Macaca mulatta: one gene and its partners. The protein of the gene in region 3 purifies or fractionates together with the protein of the main gene of each other region. This does not show direct contact. Links are inferred from orthologs where the notes say so. Each region holds a gene or a part of one and is shown on either strand. Other genes may lie near its edges.

Region 1 (4,094 bases), on a different chromosome or scaffold from region 3:
CTGGGAGGCCTCTGCCCAGGTGCAGGCCTGTGGCTTTCAAGGTGGAGAGCAGAGAGCGACAGCGGGGGCTCCTGGGGGGCTCTGCTGGTGGCCCCTGCTGTGGAACGTGGCATCACACATGGGGCCTGGCTCAGCAGGTCTGGGGCCTGCACACGGAGCCGGTGGTGGTCACTGCAGAGGTGGCAGCTGGGCTCAGGGCTGGGAGTCAGCCCCGGACCTCTTCCCCTCCAGCAGCTCCATAGCCCCTGCAGGGAAGGTACCTCCATCTCATGAACCAAGGAACGCCCAACACAGCCCCACAAATGGAGAAACTGAGGTGCAGTGCTTCCCTGGGCTGGGGTCTGAAGGCAGGAGCTGCTGCATGGCCGGTCCTCCCAGGGGGAGTGAGCGCGCAGCCACACCCTCGCCCCCAGCGGCTCCCGAGTGCTGGGCCAAGTGCAGCGCACGACACAGAGGCAGACGGGCTGTGCCTGGGCAGACGGCGCACACACCACAAGGGCAAGAACAGCTGCTTATCAAAATATTTTATTTTAGGAGACCCCTCAAAAAAGACCCTCCACATTAGACAGACGCCCCAACAATACCCTTGGCCTTTTTTTTTTGGTCTTTTCTGTATTTTTTCCTGTTTAAATCAACTAAAACAATTTGATGCTTAAAATAAAAGACAGGAAGTATTTCCTGATGAGACTTTAGTCGAGAATATAGATATATTTCTGATCCGGGGGCGGGTGATCGGGGGCGGGGAGGAGAAGGAGGTGCCACCAGTGGTTCTCGAGGTTCCATTTCTCAGCTCAGGAGGGAGCCTGGCTGCCTGGACCCGGGCTGGGGACGCAGAGCTGGGGCTCCACAGGCCCAGGCCTGACCAGGGCCAGGGAAGAAGACGGTGGAGGAGGAAGAGAAGGCGGGGCTGGCGGCTGGGGCTTGTAATTTACATGAGAACTGTGCTGGTCACTCGCGCTGTCTGTGTCTGTCCTGTGGGACTTCTGCTCTGGGGAGGGAGGCTGGGACTCAGCGTCGTCGTCATCTCCTGTGTGGCTTCTTTTCCAGCTGAGAAACTTTTTTTTCTTTTTTACTTTTTAAAAAGAATCACAGCCAAAATAAGACATTAACTGCAAAATCCAAAATGGCTGCGCTTACCCTATGTATAAAAATGCGTCCAGTCCGGTCAGGGGCACGGCCTATGCTTTCCCGGGGATCTTGGCCCGCTTGCGCGCAATAGCGTCCTCCACGGCCTTCAGCTGTTTCAGCAGCTCCTCCCGCCGCGACAGCGTGCTGGCCTTCCCTGATTTGGTGCTGGCGGCGCCGGGATCCGAGGCTTTGCCGGGCACGCTCGTGACCTTGCTGGAGCTCTTGGACTGTGGTGACAGCTGGCGCTTCCTACAAGGGGGTGGGGAAGACCTTGAGCCCCCAGAAGCCACGTCTGAGGTGGAAGCAGCAGTGCGGTGCCCTCCCTGAAGGGGAACTTCCACTGAGTGCTCAGTGGCCACCAGGAGAGGCAAGGGGCTCCCGGGATGGCCAGGCTCCCATTGCCACAAGCAGGCCTGGTCCTAGCCACTGGCTGCCGGGCTTTGTGGAGTAGAGACTGGGAGGGTCCTGGGCTGGCCCCACACAACCTGCTCTTCTTCCCACCTCCGTGCCCAGAGCTCTTTGCCCAAGGACATGGGGAGCAGAGGGCAGCCTCCAGCCTCGACCAGGGCAGGAGTGTGTGTGCGGGAGTGGGGTTGCCCTTCCCTGTCCCTGTCCCTCACCACATCAGCCCAGCAGGAGCTACAGGAGCTGGAGCACCTCCAACCTGGCCCAGTGCTAGCCCTGCTGCTGCTGGCCTCCCTGGGAAAGAGGCTCAGGCTAGCCACCCTCGGTGTGCCCAGGGCACATGCTGGGTCCACTCACCTGTCAGCCGGGGCTGCAGGGGCTTTGGAGTTCTGGCCTCTCTGTCGCTCTGGCTTCGGGGAGCCCAGTCTCCCACCTGACTTCCGGTCTCGAGAACCTGGGTGATAGGTACAGAGTGAGACCACCCTCCTGGCTTACAGGGGATGGCAGTGTGGGTGGCCTCACCAACACCAGGGACTCACTTCTAAAGCCTGAGGCTGCTTAGTTCACCTCCTTCATTTTTATAAAGAAATAAAAAGGGAAGAGCCAAGTAGAAGAGAAGAGACATGTGGACACCAAGGCATCCGGAAATGAGGCTGAGGCCAAACCTGGGCTCCAGGTTCCACCAAGTAGCCAGTATCTTGCGCAGAGAGACAAAACTCCTTCCTAGCTTTGAAGAAATTTATCACATGGGGCTTCAAATACAGAACAACAAAAAAGACATGGCAGTAAAGACATACAAGCAAAGCCGAGAGACCACGAGTGTCACTCTGGCAATGTTAGGAGGGAGGCGCGGCAGCCTAGGCAGGGTCCACTGCCCGGCGCAGGCCCAAGGCTCATGCGTGAACAAAGGTCTGCAGGACCCCAGTGGCCCTGGTTCCAAACCCAGGGAAGGACAGCGAGGCTGTTCCAGACCAACCACACAGGACACTGCCCTGGGCTTAGGGACAAAGGTGAGCAGCTTCCTCTTCCTACGCCCGACAAACTCAGAGAACTACTCAGGAAGGGGTCTGAAGCCCCCTGCCTGTTCTCTGTGTCTGGGAGTGGCTGTGCGGGTGGCCAGGCCCCCTTGTCCTCTGGTTTAAGTTCCACCCATCAAAGCCAGCCAGGACAACCTCCCTGTCTTTCCATCTGGGCCCCAGCTCTTGGGGTGTGGTCAGGACGGCTGGGGGTCCCCGAGGCCCTTTCAGGTCTATGTGGCTCAGCAGTAACACAGACACTGTCTGCCCTGTCACTCAGTTCACAAGAACCCAGGAGGGTCTCCAGAGGGCACGAGGCACGTGGGTCCAGCTGTCTTCTGTCAGTCAGACTGAAGAGATTTGCAAAAATGGAAAAACCAATGCCATTCCTGCTCATTTGTTTTGGAAAATATAATTATATTTTGCAAAAATGACACGTGTAAGAAAAATACAGGCCGGGCGCGGTGGCTCAAGCCTGTAATCCCAGCACTTTGGGAGGCCGAGACGGGCGGATCACGAGGTCAGGAGATCGAGACCATCTTGGCTAACATGGTGAAACCCCATCTCTACTAAAAAATACAAAAAACTAGCCGGGCGAGGTGGCGGGCGCCTGTAGTCCCAGCTACTCGGGAGGCTGAGGCAGGAGGATGGCGTGAACCCGGGAGGCGGAGCTTGCAGTGAGCCGAGATCCGGCCACTGCACTCCAGCCTGGACGACACAGCAAGACTCCGTCTCAAAAAAAAAAGAAAAAAAAAAAAGAAAAATACAGTTGCTCTTGTTGCCCAAGCTGGAGTGCAATGGTGCAATCTCAGCTCACTACAACCTCCGCCTCCCGGGTTCAAGCGATTCTCCTGCCTCAGCCTCCTGAGTAGCTGGGACTACAGATGCGTGCCACTATGCCCAACTAATTTTTTGTAGTTTTAGTAGCAACGTGGTTTCACCATGTTAGCCAGGCTGGTCTCGAACTCCTGACCTCAGATGATCTGCACACCTTGGCCTCCCAAAGTGCTGAGATTACAGGTGTGAGCCACCATGCCCGGCCTATTACTGTTATATTTATTTATTTATTTATTTTTGAGACAGAGTCTTGCTCTGTGGCCAGACTGGAGTGCAGTAGTGTGGTATTAGCTCACTGCAACCTCCGCCTCCCGGTTCAAGTGATTCTCCTGCCTCAGCCTCCTGAGTAGCTGGGATTACAGGTGCCCGCCACCATGCCCGGCTAATTTTTTTTTTTTTTTTGGGATGACGGAGTCTGTCACCCAGGCTGGAGTGCAGTGGCGCTATTTCGGCTCACTGCAAGCTCCGCCTCCCGGGTTCACACCATTCTCCTGCCTCAGCCTGCCGAGTAGCTGGGACTATAGGCACCCGCCACCTCGCCTGGCTAGTTTTTTGTATTTTTTAGTAGAGACGGGGTTTCACCCTGTTAGCCAGGACGGTTGCAATCTCCTGATCTTGTGATCTACCTGCCCCGGCCTCCCAAAGTGCTGGGATTACAGGCGTGAGCCACTGCGCCCGGCCTAATTTTTGTATTTTTAGTAGAGACAG
Region 2 (3,513 bases), on a different chromosome or scaffold from region 3:
CTTTTCATAGACCTCAGATCTGGTCAACTCATGAAAACTGACTGCCAGAAACTATTAAGTTCCTAAAGGCAGTCTAAGTCTCAGATAGAACCTCCCGGGAGCAGCACATGTACCTAGCTTTGGAGCAGGAGAGTTTCCTCCATTCTGGGTGAGACTGAGGATCTCCACGAGTCCCTGGTACTGGAAGAGCAGGATCAGACTCTTCTCAGGCAGTTACCAGAGTCATTATGTCACAGACTGGACAGAGGTCATCCCAAACTCACTTTGAAACACTGAATTTAGCCCAGTTTCTCCCTCTATAAATACTGTCCATACTTTTTTTTTTAGACGGAGTTTCACTCTTGTTGCCCAGGCTGGAGTGCCATGGCACGATCTCGGTTCACTGCAACCTCCCACTCCCAGATTCAAGCAATTCTCCCACCTCAGCCTCCCAAGTAGCTGGGATTACAGGCATGTGTCACCATGCCAGGGTAATTTTGTATTTTTAGTAGAAATGGGGTCTCATCATGTTGGTCAGGCTGGTCTCAAACTCCTGACCTCAAATGACCCACCTGCCTCCGCCTCCCAAAGTGCTCAGATTACAGGCGTGAGCCTCCGCACCCAGCCTGTCCATAACTATTTTAATCTCAACTACTAATAATAGGCTTATAAAATTTTTACAAGTAGAAAAAGCAATATTTCAAAGACTAAATACCACCATTTCCTTAAAAATAAACAGAACATGACCAACCTGGGCAACACAGTGAGACCCCATCTCTACAAAAAATTTTAAAAATTTATCTGGCCATGATGGTAATGCCTATAGTCCTAGCTACTTGGGAGGCTGAGGTGGGAGGCTGAGGTAGGAGGATCACTTGAACCCATGAGGTCGAGGCTGCAGTGAGCTGTGATGGTGCCACCACACTCCAGCCTGGGCGACAGAGCGAGACTCCGTCTAAAAAACAAAAACAAAACAGAGCACTTGGCACCATGAATATGCCCCAAGTGCTGAAAAGGAAAATAATAATCAAAAACCCAACACTAATCAAAGCCCATGCTCAGCACAATGAGTGTCTCTTGGTACAGGCCACAAACTAGAGCCCAGAGATGAGACATCTGTGGCTGGATGCTCTGGTCCCATCATATGTTAAAAGCAGCCAGAAGCTGGTGTGCAGCTTGGTAAATATTGTCCTACACCAGGACCAATTCATATCCCTGCTTCAAAGTGTGGAAGAATAATTTCACAAAAACACTTTAAACCCCATCAGAATACACCCATATTTCTTCAGTCCTAGCCCTCAATGTTACAAGTAGAAATGACAGTTAAGTTATAGACTACAGGCTGCAATTATGAATTCTGACCTTACTCAGTTTCCCCAGTTCTTCCCAAAAGGGAAAGCAGCCTCTCGATGCCCAAAAGGACTGAGATTCTTCCCTGTCCTCAGATGGGGCAGTCCCCTGGGAGCCCTGGGATGGCTCATTAAAGAATGGACCCCAAACCAACCCTCTTAGACACACACCGTGATATCCTCCAATGAGGAATCGATGATCTCATAGTTGTCTGGAAGGCAGTAAAACTTGAGGGTATGGAGGTTGAGGAAAACATGGTGGCTAAATTGGACACTGTGAATGTAGGCGTGAGACTTCAAACCTCGGCCTATAGGGAAGGGTGAAAGGCTGTAATAGAAGGGCAGATACTAGAAGGCACAGATCAGGTTTGCTTTTCCTTTCATTATTTTCTACCGGAACATGTTAACATCCGCGAAAAACAAATATTATGTCATTCATAAAATGAATCCTCCGCATGAAGTTCTCTCATAAAAAAACTAGCAAGAAAGACTAGCACATTAGTTACTTCTTTCTCTAGATGGCATAAGACATTGACTGGGGAAACAAAGTTCACTATTTTTTGCAAATATTTGTAAAATACATATGATATATAAAATATAGATAATCTCTATATATATAACTATATATTCACATACATAGTTTCCTATATATATGAAACTAGAAACATCTATGCATGTGTGAGTGCATAAATACACATATACATAAATATATACATATCCTATGACAGTCCATCATCACTCAGTCCTGAATTTCCAAATGCCCATATTCAGGACAATGCTGTATCTATGTAACTTTTCTCATATTGCTACTCCTTTCTAGAATCTCTCTCCCCTAACCATTCAAACTCCTATGTCCTGCCAATTCAAGTCCCACCTCCACTCCTTCATGAACTCAACATCAACACTCCAGCTAACATTGATTTTTGCACATTTTAACTCCTACTGCACTTATTTTTACTCAGTGCCACGGTCCAGCAGTAATCTTTATGGTCTAACAGAACTCGCTCGTTGTTTCACATGTCAACCTTGACTCCTTAGAAGCTCCTAATAAGAGCAAAGAATATAGTTTTTATCTCTTTTTTTGAGACAGGGTTGCCGGGCGCGGTGGCTCACGCCTGTAATCCCAGCACTTTGGGAGGCCGAGGCGGGCGGATCACAAGGTCAGGAGATCGAGACCACGGTGAAACCCCGTCTCTACTAAAAATACAAAAAATTAGCCGGGCGCGATTGTGGGCGCCTGTAGTCCCAGCTACTCAGGAGGCTGAGGCAGGAGAATGGCGTGAACCCGGGAGGCGGAGCTTGCAGTGAGCCGAGATCGCGCCACTGCACTCCAGCCTGGGCGACAGAGCGAGACTCCGTCTCAAAAAAAAAAAAAAAAAAAAAAAAAAGAGACAGGGTCTTGCTATGTTAGCCAGGTGGATCTTGAACTCTTGGCTTTAAACAATTCTCCTCCTCAGCCTTCCAAAATGCTAGGATTACACGTGTAAGCCACTGTGCCCAGTTGTTTTTACCTCATTTGAATCCTCCACTATACTATGTACATGGCATCTGCTTGGTGTGAATGAGTTGAAATGATACATTTTCAGAAAAAAAAAAAAAAAAAAGGTATAAAAAAAGTCCTTTGAGCTAAAGGATACTTCAAAAAAAAAAAATTTGTAGCCTGGGTAACATAATAAGGCCTTGTCTCCACAAAAAAAAATAAAATAAAATATTTAGCCAGATAGCGGGGTGCAATGGCTCACATCTATAATCCCAGCACTTTGGGAGGTACAGGCAGGCACACTGCTTGAGCTCAGGAGTTTCAAGACTAGCCTGGGCAACAGAGTACAATCCCATCTTTTAAAAAAAATGTGGCTGTGTGCCGTGGCTCACGCCTGTAATCCAGCACTTTGGGAGGCCAAAAAGTGTGGATCACTTAAGGTCAGGAGTCCAAGACCAGCCTGGCCAATATGGTGAAACCCTGTCTCTACTAAAAAATACTAAAATTAGCCAGGTGTGGTGGTGCATGCCTGTAATCCCAGCTACTCGGGAGGCTGAGGCAGAAGAATCACTTGAACTTGGGAGTCAGAGGCTGCAGTGAGCCAAGATCACGTCACTGCACTGCAGCCTGGGTGACACAGTGAGATTCCATCTCTTAAAAAAAAAAAAAAATTAGGCTGGGGGCAGTGGCTCATGCCTGTAATCC
Region 3 (3,513 bases):
TTTTTAGTAGAGACGAGGTTTCCCCATGTTGGCCAGGCTGTTCTCGAACTCTTGACCTCAAGTGATCGCCTGCCTTGGTCTCCCAAAATGTTGGAATTACAGGCATGAGCCACTGTGCCTGGCCCGTTTACATTTTTTAACTGGTCTTTGAGATTGCGCGTGTGGGCGAGCAGATTAAATAAGAGTTTCCTCAGATGACCCTATCAAGAAAGCACTACCAAGAAGTAAGCACTGCAGATCTGAGTCAAAGTCTACCTTGCTCATTTTGGCTGGATCAGAGAAAGATTCTTGGGTTCTGTATACTGTGCTGAAACATGCAAGACAGGTTGTGTTTTTAGGTTTTTATTAAATGAGGAAGGCTGGGTGCAATGGCTCACGCCTGTAGTCCAGCGCTTTGGGGAGGCTGGGACAGGTGGATCACCTGAGGTCGGGAGTTCGAGACCAGCTTGACCGACATGGAGAAATCCTGTCTCTACTAAAAATACAAAATTAGCTGGGTGTGATGGCTCATGCCTGTAATCCCAGCTACTCGAGGCTGAGGCAGGAGAATCGCTTGAAGCTGGGAGATGGAGGTTGCAGTGAGCCGAGATCACACCATTGCACTACAGCCTGGACAACAAGAACTAAACTCCGTCTCAAAAAATAATAATAAATTAGGAAAATACTGTAATGTTATTATTTGATTATGTAGACAAACCTATTTACAGTCTGACTGTTCAGATTAAATAGTTGTGTCCAAACCTGGAATAACATTAAGAAATGTTCAAAACCTGTTTTGAAAAATTAAGCTGTAGAAAGGCCTGTTGTAATACAAATATCACATTAAACGAGTAAAACTCACTGAAAGGTACTTCTGTGATAAGTATTGAAAAGTTGGGTTTTTGTGGGGTTTTTTGGGGAGGCTGGAGGCAAGGTCACACTCTTGTCATCCAGGCTGGAGTGCAGTGGCATTATCTCTGCTCACTGCAGCTTCTGCCTCCCAGACTCACGCCATCCTCCCACTTGAGCCTCCCTAGTAGTTGGGACTATCTTCACATGCCACCACACTTGTCTAATTTTTATATTTTTTGTAGAGATAGGGTTTCGCCATGTTACCCAGGCTGGTCTCAAACTCCTGAGCTTAAGTGATCCGTCTGCCTCAGCTTCCCAAAGTGCTGGGATTACGAGTGTGAGCCACCACACCTAGCTATTGTTTTTGGTTTTTTGAGACAAGTTCTCACTCTGTCACTTGGGCTGCAATGGCACAAACACAGCTACTGCAGCCTCAACCTCGTGGGCTCAGGTGATCCTCCCTCAGCCTCTGAAAGTGCTGGGATTACAAGTGTGAACCACTGTGCCTGGCCTATTATACTTGACATTAAAAATAAGATTTTTGGCCAGGCATGGTGGCTCACGCCTGTAACCTCAGCACTTTTGGAGGCCAAGGGAGAACCACTTGAGGCCAGGAGTTCGAGACCAACCTGGGCAACACAGCGAGACCCCCATCACTACAAAACAAAATTAGTCAGGTGTGGTGGCATACCCTTAACGGTTCCAGCTACTCAGGGCGGGCTGAAATGGAAGGATTGCCTGAGCCTGGGAGGTCAAGGCTGCAGTGACCCATGTTCGCGCCACTGCACTCCAGTCTAGGTGACAGAGTTAGACCCTGTCTCAAAAAAAAAAAAAAAAAGAAGAGATCCTTAATTGGAGAAATGTCAAAATGTAGAAAGAAAAAGTCTTCAATGGAAATGGGATATTTGAGTAAATGGAATATTATACTCACGTGGGCAGGTTTTATTTGGGTTGTTTATTTGAAATTAGAATCAGTAACTTTACTGGTATGAATAACCTTTAGTAATTCTTCAAATTGTGGGACCAGAGGAAATAAGACCTTTCATTGTTTGCCTGCAATAACACTAAAATGTCATTGTGGCCATCTGAGTAAGTTTTGTTACAAAACACATTAATTAGAGTTCACTCTCTTTAGGCTAGTGTGCCTTTTCTTACAGATATTCCTTGCATATAGAAAAAAAATCATTTACTTTGATTTATTTTTCTTTTAACTTGCATTTGATCCCCTTAAGAACACGACCTCGAGATGATATCCTCAGTAGACGTGAAAGATCAAAAGATGCCAGCCCCATCAATAGATGGTCTCCAACCCGAAGAAGAAGTAGGTCTCCCATTAGAAGGAGGTCTCGTTCCCCACTCAGACGTAGCAGGTCTCCAAGAAGAAGAAGCAGGTCTCCTCGGAGAAGGTAAAGACATTTCATCCTTGTGATTCATTAAACTCTGAATGTTTTTAAACCACCCATGAGCTCAGTTGGTAGGTTTTCTTTTGACCAGTTTTCTCTGAAAAATCGTAGTTGTGTTCCCAGTTTCCTTTTACCAGCAGTCTTTACACGTGGGTTTTCTTTTATATCGTTTCCTTTGAATTTTAACCAAATCATTACTCATTTAAGATGCAATAAAATTAATCTTTTAAGAGTAGGACTTTTTTCTCTCTTTTATGAGAGATAAATATTAAATGAGCCAGGCTTAGGGATTTTTTTTTTTTTTAACTGGCAAGGTAGATCATATAGTAGTAAATATGTAGTCCAGTTTCTTATCATTTTATATTAATTTTGCATATTGATAGTTACTGTAGACTTTGGCCAAGGCCTATTTAATTTGCCATAGAAACCACTTTATCTGAAGCATATGTAATCAGTAGTAGGTTAAAAAGGTGGTTTATAAAGCAGGGAATCATTTTTTAAAATTCATACATACATGAAATATTTTGATATAAAACATAAATGGGTATTTGTTCGCCCATCTTTTAACATTTTTAATTGAAGTAATAAATGAATGTAATTCTTAAAAAACAAAGGCTTATATTGTAGTCATCTCTACATATCTCTCAGAATTTTTGTATGCTGTATTCCTAGAAGTGGAAATGCATGGTCTGAGTACACTCTGGACAATGAGGGGTTTTATTTATTTGTTTTTTTTTTAGACAAAGTCTCACTCTGTTGCCCAGGCTGGAGTGCAATGGCGCAATCTCACTGCAACCTCCACCTCCCGAGTTCAAGCAATTCTTCTGCCTCAGCCTCTCAAGTAGCTGGGACTACAGAGGTGCGCGTGCCACCATGCCCGGCTAAATTTTTTTTTTTTTTTTTTGTATTTTTTTAAATAGAGGTGGAGTTTCACCATGTTGGTCAGGCTGGTCTCAAACTCCTGACCCCAAGTGATCCGCCCGTCTCTGCCTCCTGAAGTGCGGGGATTAGAAGCATGAGCTGCTGCACGCAGCCACAATGAGGGTTTTTAATACCCCCCCTCACCCATGTTTCTCTTTTGCCTATTTTCATCACACGTTTTTGTTCTTCTAGAGTCAGTATAATCATTGTGATCATGTATGTATTCATTGCTGGGCAAATAGTTGGGGGAGGAGGGCAGAGAGGACCTGCCTTCTGAGACGGCTAGTCTGCTGGCTCCAAGCTCATCTTACGACTTGCTTTTTTCTCTCTCCCCTTTTTATAAAAAATTTCTTGTGTT
Region 4 (3,513 bases), on a different chromosome or scaffold from region 3:
AGAAAGCCACTTCCCTGAGTCCAGGGCCCCGTGGCTGTCCTGTTCACCAATGACCTTCTCGGCCCAAGAACAATGCACTACCCACAGCAGGCACTCAACAAACATGCACAGGAAGAGACAGGCCAGGAAAGGATCCCCTACTAAAGCAGGCATCTAAAAACTTTTGCAAAACATGACTTTTAAACAGAAAACATGACTTTAACCAGGGCTGGTCGCAGTGGCTCACACCTGTAATCTTAGCATTTTTGGAGGCCGAGGCAGGCAGATCATGAGGTCAGGAGTTGGAGACCAGCCTGGCCAACACGGTGAAACCCCGTCTCTACTAAAAATACAAAAATTAGCCGGGTGTGGTGGCAGGTGCCTGTAATCCCAGCCACTCAGGAGGCTAAGGAATGAGAATCACTTGAACCAGGGAGGCGGAGGCTGCAGTGAGCCGAGGCCACGCCATTGCACTCCAGCCTGGGCGACAGAGCAAAACACTTGTCTCAAAAAAAAACAAAACCCAGAAAACAAAAAACAAATGGAAAAGAGGCTTCAGACAGGAATGTGGCTGTTGCCTATGACACATGTGCTCGTGAGGACAGGTGACTGCTGACGCACTGGTAGCCCCAGGCCTGCCCATGCCCAGCCTCACCTTCTCGCCACTGTCTCGCAGCTGCTGCAGCTGCTGTAACTGTCGCAGCCGGCGTCCCTTCTCCAGCTGCTTCTGCAGCTCCAGCTCTGCCTCGTCCTCCTCCAGCACCTGCGGGGACCCCGGCTGTGGAGCTCCACCTTCCTCTGGGGGATACACAGGGGATGCCTGCTCAGACAATCTCCTCCAACCCAGGGCTCCTGTCCCTGCCCCCTCCCACCCCCTGGCCAGGCCCTCACCCTCATCACTGATGTCCATGTTCTCCACTCGGGTGTCATCCGACGGCAGGGGCTGAGGCACGGGCTCCTTCTCCTCCTCCACCTCAGACACTCGGCGGCGACCCCGTCCCCGCAGTCTGAGGGAAGGAGGCCTCTCTGGTGAGCACCGGCCCCCGGGACACCCCAGCCCAGCCCTCTCACCCCACCATGGTGTCCAAGCCCACCTGGAACCAAAGTCCCCATCCTGAGTCTGGTCCCCGAGAGGCAACAGGTCATCCGCCCGCACTACGACCTCCTTCTCCTTCTTGCGGATTTTCCTCACCCTCCGCTTGGTCCTTCTAAAGGCCACCTGAGGGGAAGAGGGAGGCGTGGGGCGGGGCGGGGAAAGGCAGGCCACCACAAGCCCGCGAGGATGAACACTTCTTTGGTGTTCTTCTGTGCTAGCCAGTGTCCTGAGCACTTCTCACACATGAGCAACACGTGGGGTGGTTACTATCTCCCTTCCACTGGTGATTAGGGAAACTGGGGCACAGAGAGGTTAAGTACCTTCCCCAAGGTCGCCCAGCTCCTAGGTGGGAAAGCCGGGCAGTCTGGCTCCAGAGTCCTGCTCTTACCCACTGAGCAAGACGCCTACTACACCAGCTGACTACCTCACGTTCACACAGTCACTCTGCGGACAGAATCCACGCACACCTTTCCAGTCACCCCTCAGCCACACTGTCACTCATCCTCACAGCAACCTCAGGAGGTGGCTCCTATCACTGCCACTCCAGATGGGGCACCCCAGGCTCACAGTTAAATGGCTTACCCAAGGCACAAGCTGGCAGTATGGCAGAGCAGAAACACCAACTGGGGCCCATCTGGCTCAGCAGCCCTGACCCGTCAACACCTGGTGCCTCCCCAGGTTGCCATTTACTGCTTGCCCACGAGGCCAAGCGCTTTGTGAACAGAAATACTTGCCCTCTCTTCCCAGTGCCTGCGGGCAGCGCAGGAGCCCCAAGGGGAGGGAGAATCATGACCCCAAGTACAAGGCGCAAGAGGGCTCACCATCTCCTCGGGTGTGAGGTACTCGGAGGCCAGCCGGGGCCCCACCGTGCTCAGGGACTGAGCCTGCAGCCGCAGCTTGGCCCGGATCTCCTCCAACTCCCGTTCCCGCAGGCCATCGGCCATGCCCCCCTGCTCCAAGCGGAAGGAATGCGGCTGCTCCCCCTCAAGCTCTTCGTCGTACTTGGACAGGATAGAGCGAGGTTTTTGCTACAAGGTAAGAGGTACAGGTTGGGACCCAGGGTGGCTCCTGAAAAGCCACTGAGCCACCACCTCCTCAGAGCCCCTATTCCCGACATTCTCCACCCCAGCCCCCGCCGCCCAGCCTGCTTGGGCCGTGCCTGCGCCAGGTCGTCCACACTCTCGTCCTCGGCATAAGGCAGGTAGTCGGGCTTCTTCTTCCGCAGCTCCACATTCTTCTCTGCCCGCTCCTTATCCACCAGGTTCACGTTCACCAGCACGTCCTCCTCCTCCTGCAGCACGCCTGCGGGCAGCACAGAGCAGTGGCCATTCACACTTGTCCACAACTCAGCAGAGGCTGTGCCCCGACCCAAGGCACCCAGCTCGCGTCACCTTTGTCCTTAAGGGTGAGGATCATGGTCTCCCCTTCTCGGAAGGAATCAATGGCATGCTCCACGGTGAGGCCCTGCAGGTCCCGGGCACTGTACAGGTCCTAACAGAAGAATCAGGCGAGTAAAGAACCTCCCTCCATGCGCCCAACCTTGGGATTCCAGCATCAAGGCCGCCAGTGTGCCCTGCACCACCCACCCCGGCTGCTGCAGCCTCACCTGCCGTCTCTGCCCGAACTCCTCCTCTACCAGAGTGCTGACACCAAACTCTTGGTCCATCTCCTCCAGTAACTTTGCCTATGGGACAGGGAGGGGTGACCTAGGACCTCAGGCCACTCAGCACCACCAGAAAACACTCAGGGCTCTACCAAGCGGAGTGCAAAAAGAGCAGGCCTTGCAGGAAAGTTGCTGAGAATCCAAAGCGGATGCTACCAACCACAGCCCATCCCCTCTCCGAACCCCGTCTCAACTCTCTGGGGTCCACCCCCTGCCTCAATGCCCAGTCAGGCCAGCAAAAGCACTGGGCAACCACCCCATGCTGCCCAGGTGCTCACCCTCTTCTCTGCCAGGTCTTTCTCCTTCTGCAGCTGCCGGCTCCTCTCGATCCAGGCTGCAGTGTCGTCCAGCCAGGGATCATCCTCTCCTAGGGTCTTTATCTTCCTGAAGAGGGGAGAAAGTGATGCTCCAGGAGCCCAGCTCCTGCTCCCAACCCCACTCAAAAGGCAGCCAAGGATGGTGGCCTCCCCAGCCCTTCCCTTGCCTGCCCTGGCCAGGACCCCTCACCCCAGCTTTTGGTTCAGCAGGCGCTTCTCCTTGGCAGCCGCCAGCTTCTCCCGCAGCTCCTCTCGCTGTCGCAAGGCCATAGGATTGATGACATCGGCTGTCACGGGCTCCTCCTTGGTGCCCGCCTCTGGAAGGGGGGCCCAGACGTGAGGCTATGCCCGCCCATGGCTGGTGGGGAGAGGAGGGAGCCACTCACCCTGCCCCCTTCCAGCTCAGGGGGCCAGAAGGGGTCAGGACAGGAAGGAACAATCCTTCACCTCCCTGCTCC
Region 5 (4,236 bases), on a different chromosome or scaffold from region 3:
ACCACCACTCCCGGCTAATTTTTGCATTTTTAGTAAAGGCGGGGTTTCAACATGTTGGCCAGGCTGGTCTCCAGCTCCTGGCCTCAAGTTATCCACCTGCCTCAGCCTCCCAAAATGCTGGGATTACGGACATGAGTCACTGTGCCTGGCCTGTGAAAAAACTGTTTTCTGAGCTTCCATTTGTGTATACATATGTTTATAGAACAAAACTGGTTCCCACACTGGCAGTGCAGGTAGGGCAGAACCAGAAGCAGGACAACACACACAGACACCACTAACAATAGGGCCGCTCCCTTAGGCCTGGTCTTAACCAGCTCTAGGCCAGGTGAAGAGGCTAACTCAACCATGACTGCCTGTCTCGCTATTGCTTTCTTTTCTCTAGTACAGATGCTCAGGGTCTAATCAGAGACTGATTCTCAACTGGCGCGACCAAGGGACAGTTATATTATCTCCAGTCTCAATTTCCTTATCAGTAATAACAGGCATTTTTATCCACACTTTTAGTTTGTGAGGAATAAGGCACGTAGAGGGTTTCACAGAGGGTCGGGAACAAGATCAACCCCTAACCAATGTTAGTCATTATGATTAATGACTTTTCCTAGTTTTTATTTTTGTCTTCCTTCTGCTCACTTTAGCCTAATCAGGGTGGGCGTGGTGACTCAAGCCTGTATTCCCAGCACTCTGGGAGGTAGAGGCGGGCGGATCACCTGAGGTCAGGAGTTCGAGACCAGACTGCCCAACATGGTGGAATCCGGTCTCTAATAATACAAAAATTAGCCAGGCGTGTTGGCAAGCGCCTGTAGTCCCAGGTACTCGGGAGACTGAGGCAGGAGAATCGCTTGAACCTGGGAGGCGAAGGTTGCAGTGAGCCGAGATGGTGTCACTGCACTCCAGCCTGGGCGACAGAGCGAGACTCCGTATGAAAAAAAAAAAAAAATTAACCTAATAGAGGAAAGCACGCGCCCACCCCCTCTCTGAGCATGCGCACCAACAGAATAGCCGCGCCCTTTTCTAATTAAACCATTAACCAAGGTGAGGGTAAGGAAGAAAAGGAGGCTTGGCTAAGTCCCACCCTGATGTGATCAGGTTAAAACTGTGTAAGGCACATTACATCATAGGTTAAAAGGCCTGGAAAACTCCGCGCTCTCCTTGCCAGAACTGCAGGCTTGCGGGCCAAGTCTCTGAGAACTCAGGGATTGTGAAACCCGCCCCGGCTCTGCGCTAGCAGCGGGATCCAGGCACCCGCAGCTAATTGGGGAGGGAGGTGACTGCCTGGCTGACTTTTCATTGGCCCAGAGTCACAAAGGCTGCAGGTTCTTCCCCCTTCCGGTCGCTGAGTGGTTGAGGCCGGAAAACAACGCTCATCGTCATTGGCTGAGCCCGGCTGTCAGTCCTTTCGCGTCTCGGCGGCGCGGCACAGCCCGGCGCGGCCTGTAAAGCAGTCTCAGGCCTGCTGCAGGGAGAAGATGGCGGTCGCAGTGAGAACTTTGCAGGAACAGCTAGAAAAGGCCAAAGAGAGCCTTAAGAACGTGGATGAGAATATTCGCAAGCTCACCGGGCGGGATCCGAATGACGTGAGGTAAGGGCTTAACGGGAACTCGGAGCTCGGAGAGGCAGCCCTCTGGTCGGGGTGAATTGGGGGCGGGGAGGGCGGCCAGCCTTCAGAAGGCTGGAACCTCGAGGCCTGTTCGCGGGGCGGCGGGTAAAACCATGTTCTCGCCGAGGTGGAAAAGCCCCAGGCCCCCATCGTAGAGCGCTGGTCTCAGGTTCCTGAGAAAGGAGAGCGAGTCCTGGATACGCCGGCATGGTTTCTCAGGCCTGTGAGAAGACCCAGACTACTGATTCCCGCCCTCGGCCCTGCAGGCCCGGAACTGCAGCACAAAGCCCCTTCCCGCTCTGGCGGGCACCCGGCCCAGGGCTGGCCCCGAGACCCTGCCGGGACGCCACTAGCCACTTCACCCCAACCTCTTGCCCACGTGCAGCTTCCTCGGGGATGGCGGGATGGGGACCTGATTCAGGCTTTTCAATGTGTGGGGGCATCGAGGTGATTATAATTTCTGTGATACAGGTCCTGGAGAAACGAGGAAGTTAAATGAAATAGTACGTCCTGTCCTGTTTCAGACACTTGGGTTTATTTGAAACTATCTTTTTGGAACTTTTGCGATTTTCTCCTTGGATCCATATCTCTGAAAGTAATTGGTGCAACTATGTGTGTCTGCATATGATCTTGCACTGATTTGTAAATCTCTTACAGGCCCATCCAAGCCAGATTGCTGGCCCTTTCTGGTCCTGGTGGAGGTAGAGGACGTGGTAGTTTATTACTGAGGTAAGATTTCCTTTGGACTTTACTCATGCTGAAACTACTGGTACTTTACTTACAAATATATTGGCTTGCACAAAACCTGTGATAAAATCGATAACCCAGTGTTTGTTGTCTTTGTTTAATGCTTGTGATAGACTAGGTTTCCGTATAAATACAGTTATCCTGAAAAACTGGAGGTCGAAGAATATATTAAGTGTACCAATTTTGAGTGAACTTAATTCTTATAGTTTAAAGTAACACTAAAAGCATTTTGGGAATGAATGCCCATTTAAGGCTACTTTAGTTGGAAAGGTTTTTAAAATTTCAACCATATTCTCTTGTCAAATGGAAATACCGTTTATCTTGTATTTCAAGTGCTTTATGTTGAACATTTTAAATTTCAGGCGTGGATTCTCAGATAGTGGAGGAGGACCCCCAGCCAAACAGAGAGACCTTGAAGGGGCAGTCAGTAGGTAGGTCTGTAAAAAGATTCCTGAAGTCTTCTTTAGTTTCTGATGTACAACACAAATACAAATATTTATTAATAATAATGCTGTTTGAGTAATATTACAATTGAGTAGTGTGCCACTTCCCCCCCCTCACAAGTTCTCTTGGTATTTGATTGAACTGAGTCAGTTCTCTCAAAACACAGTTCTGCACTCATGATAACCCACAGTTTATCAAAATAAAGGTCAGGTGAAGAGTAAATTTGGAAAAATTGTCAATTAGTACCATTTTTTTCTGACTTGTAATTGAAATACTTAACCAGTTTGAAATACTTAGAAAATACAGGAGAGCAGAGTTAGTTTGGGTGTTAGTTCACATGTTGTATTCTTTCTCTGCTGGAGGAAAGAATAAAATGGAATGGAGACTTGATAGAACAAAGCTTCTGGAAATGAGTCCTAGAAAGAGAGGGCATTTGCCTTTGGTGTGCAGTTACATAAATACCTCTGGTCATTTAAATTAATTTCTGGCCAGGTACAGTGGCTTATCCCTGTAATCCCAGCACTTTGGGAAGCCAAGGCCAGCAGATCACTTGAGCCCAGGAGTTCCAGACCAGCCTAGGTACATGGTGAAATCACATCCCTACAAAAAGTACAAAAAAGTTACCCAGGCATGCTGGCTCACGCCTGTAGTCCCAGCTTGGGAGGATGAGGCAAGAGGATCACTTGAACCTGGGAGGTCGAGGCTGCAGTGAACTGTGGTGGCACCACTGCACTTCAGCCTGGATGGTATAGTGAAACACTGTCTCAAAAAAAGTAATTTTGTCTATGACAGGCTGGGTGGGGAGCGTCGGACCAGAAGAGAATCACGCCAGGAAAGCGACCCAGAGGATGATGATGTTAAAAAGGTATTGAGATTGAAGGAACTTAAACGAATGTAGTACCTTCACTTTACTACATTTGAAAGCACACCACTCATATGCTAGTTAATTACTGAGATTTTCTTTTTCTGCAGCCAGCATTGCAGTCTTCAGTTGTAGCTACCTCCAAAGAGCGCACGCGTAGAGACCTTATCCAGGATCAAAATATGGATGAAAAGGGAAAGCAAAGGTATTTCCCTGGGGGAAAAAAACTCTTGTGAAATAATGCAGTTATAAGGAAAATTAAGGGATTGTTCAAGTGTCCTGTAGTGTTTCTTAGAAAATGATGGGTTTAAATGAAATGGATCCTGTTGACAGTAAATTTTCTTATTCTGTTCTTTAGGAACCGGCGAATATTTGGCTTGTTGATGGGTACCCTTCAAAAATTTAAACAAGAATCCACTGTTGCTACTGAAAGGGTATTTATCCAAGTTTTGTTTTGCATCATGTATTTAAGTTATCAAAGTAGTAGATTAATTTTTTTTTAAGCCTTAAAGCTGTTTTAAGACTTAATTGTAAACCTAAAATAAAGCCAAATGAAAACTTGGTTTAACTTTTTATAGAACAGCCT

Evidence for each region.
Region 1: the proteins of PRP4K (region 3) and ZC3H18 purify together in Homo sapiens (co-immunoprecipitation; 4 studies listed by BioGRID and IntAct, counting the BioPlex papers as one, with this or other methods). This does not show direct contact. The link is inferred for Macaca mulatta from reciprocal best matches to the Homo sapiens genes PRP4K and ZC3H18.
Region 2: the proteins of PRP4K (region 3) and USP39 purify together in Homo sapiens (affinity purification with mass spectrometry; 3 studies listed by BioGRID and IntAct, with this or other methods). This does not show direct contact. The link is inferred for Macaca mulatta from reciprocal best matches to the Homo sapiens genes PRP4K and USP39.
Region 4: the proteins of PRP4K (region 3) and SART1 purify together in Homo sapiens (affinity purification with mass spectrometry; 3 studies listed by BioGRID and IntAct, with this or other methods). This does not show direct contact. The link is inferred for Macaca mulatta from reciprocal best matches to the Homo sapiens genes PRP4K and SART1.
Region 5: the proteins of PRP4K (region 3) and PNN purify together in Homo sapiens (affinity purification with mass spectrometry; 5 studies listed by BioGRID and IntAct, counting the BioPlex papers as one, with this or other methods). This does not show direct contact. The link is inferred for Macaca mulatta from reciprocal best matches to the Homo sapiens genes PRP4K and PNN.

Annotation. Positions count from the first base shown.
Region 1 is NC_133425.1:84,020,952-84,025,045, reverse strand, and holds the end of ZC3H18 (zinc finger CCCH domain-containing protein 18), read right to left. Parts: intron 3,048-4,094; exon of another isoform or gene 1,988-3,047; coding exon 1,891-1,987; exon of another isoform or gene 1,378-1,890; coding exon 1,179-1,377; 3' UTR 510-1,178; downstream 1-509.
Region 2 is NC_133418.1:38,768,981-38,772,493, forward strand, and holds part of USP39 (ubiquitin carboxyl-terminal hydrolase 39), read right to left. Parts: intron 1,637-3,513; coding exon 1,500-1,636; intron 1-1,499.
Region 3 is NC_133409.1:179,203,389-179,206,901, reverse strand, and holds part of PRP4K (serine/threonine-protein kinase PRP4 homolog), read left to right. Parts: intron 1-2,063; coding exon 2,064-2,237; intron 2,238-3,513. UniProt on the Homo sapiens protein: Serine/threonine kinase involved in spliceosomal assembly as well as mitosis and signaling regulation. Connects chromatin mediated regulation of transcription and pre-mRNA splicing.
Region 4 is NC_133419.1:8,451,981-8,455,493, forward strand, and holds part of SART1 (U4/U6.U5 tri-snRNP-associated protein 1), read right to left. Parts: intron 3,373-3,513; coding exon 3,246-3,372; intron 3,123-3,245; coding exon 3,017-3,122; intron 2,760-3,016; coding exon 2,682-2,759; intron 2,567-2,681; coding exon 2,467-2,566; intron 2,378-2,466; coding exon 2,235-2,377; intron 2,104-2,234; coding exon 1,897-2,103; intron 1,199-1,896; coding exon 1,074-1,198; intron 987-1,073; coding exon 871-986; intron 778-870; coding exon 635-777; intron 1-634. UniProt on the Homo sapiens protein: Plays a role in mRNA splicing as a component of the U4/U6-U5 tri-snRNP, one of the building blocks of the spliceosome. May also bind to DNA.
Region 5 is NC_133412.1:112,287,983-112,292,218, forward strand, and holds the start of PNN (pinin), read left to right. Parts: upstream 1-1,435; 5' UTR 1,436-1,466; coding exon 1,467-1,579; intron 1,580-2,254; coding exon 2,255-2,326; intron 2,327-2,706; coding exon 2,707-2,775; intron 2,776-3,580; coding exon 3,581-3,653; intron 3,654-3,760; coding exon 3,761-3,855; intron 3,856-4,008; coding exon 4,009-4,084; intron 4,085-4,236. UniProt on the Homo sapiens protein: Transcriptional activator binding to the E-box 1 core sequence of the E-cadherin promoter gene; the core-binding sequence is 5'CAGGTG-3'. Capable of reversing CTBP1-mediated transcription repression.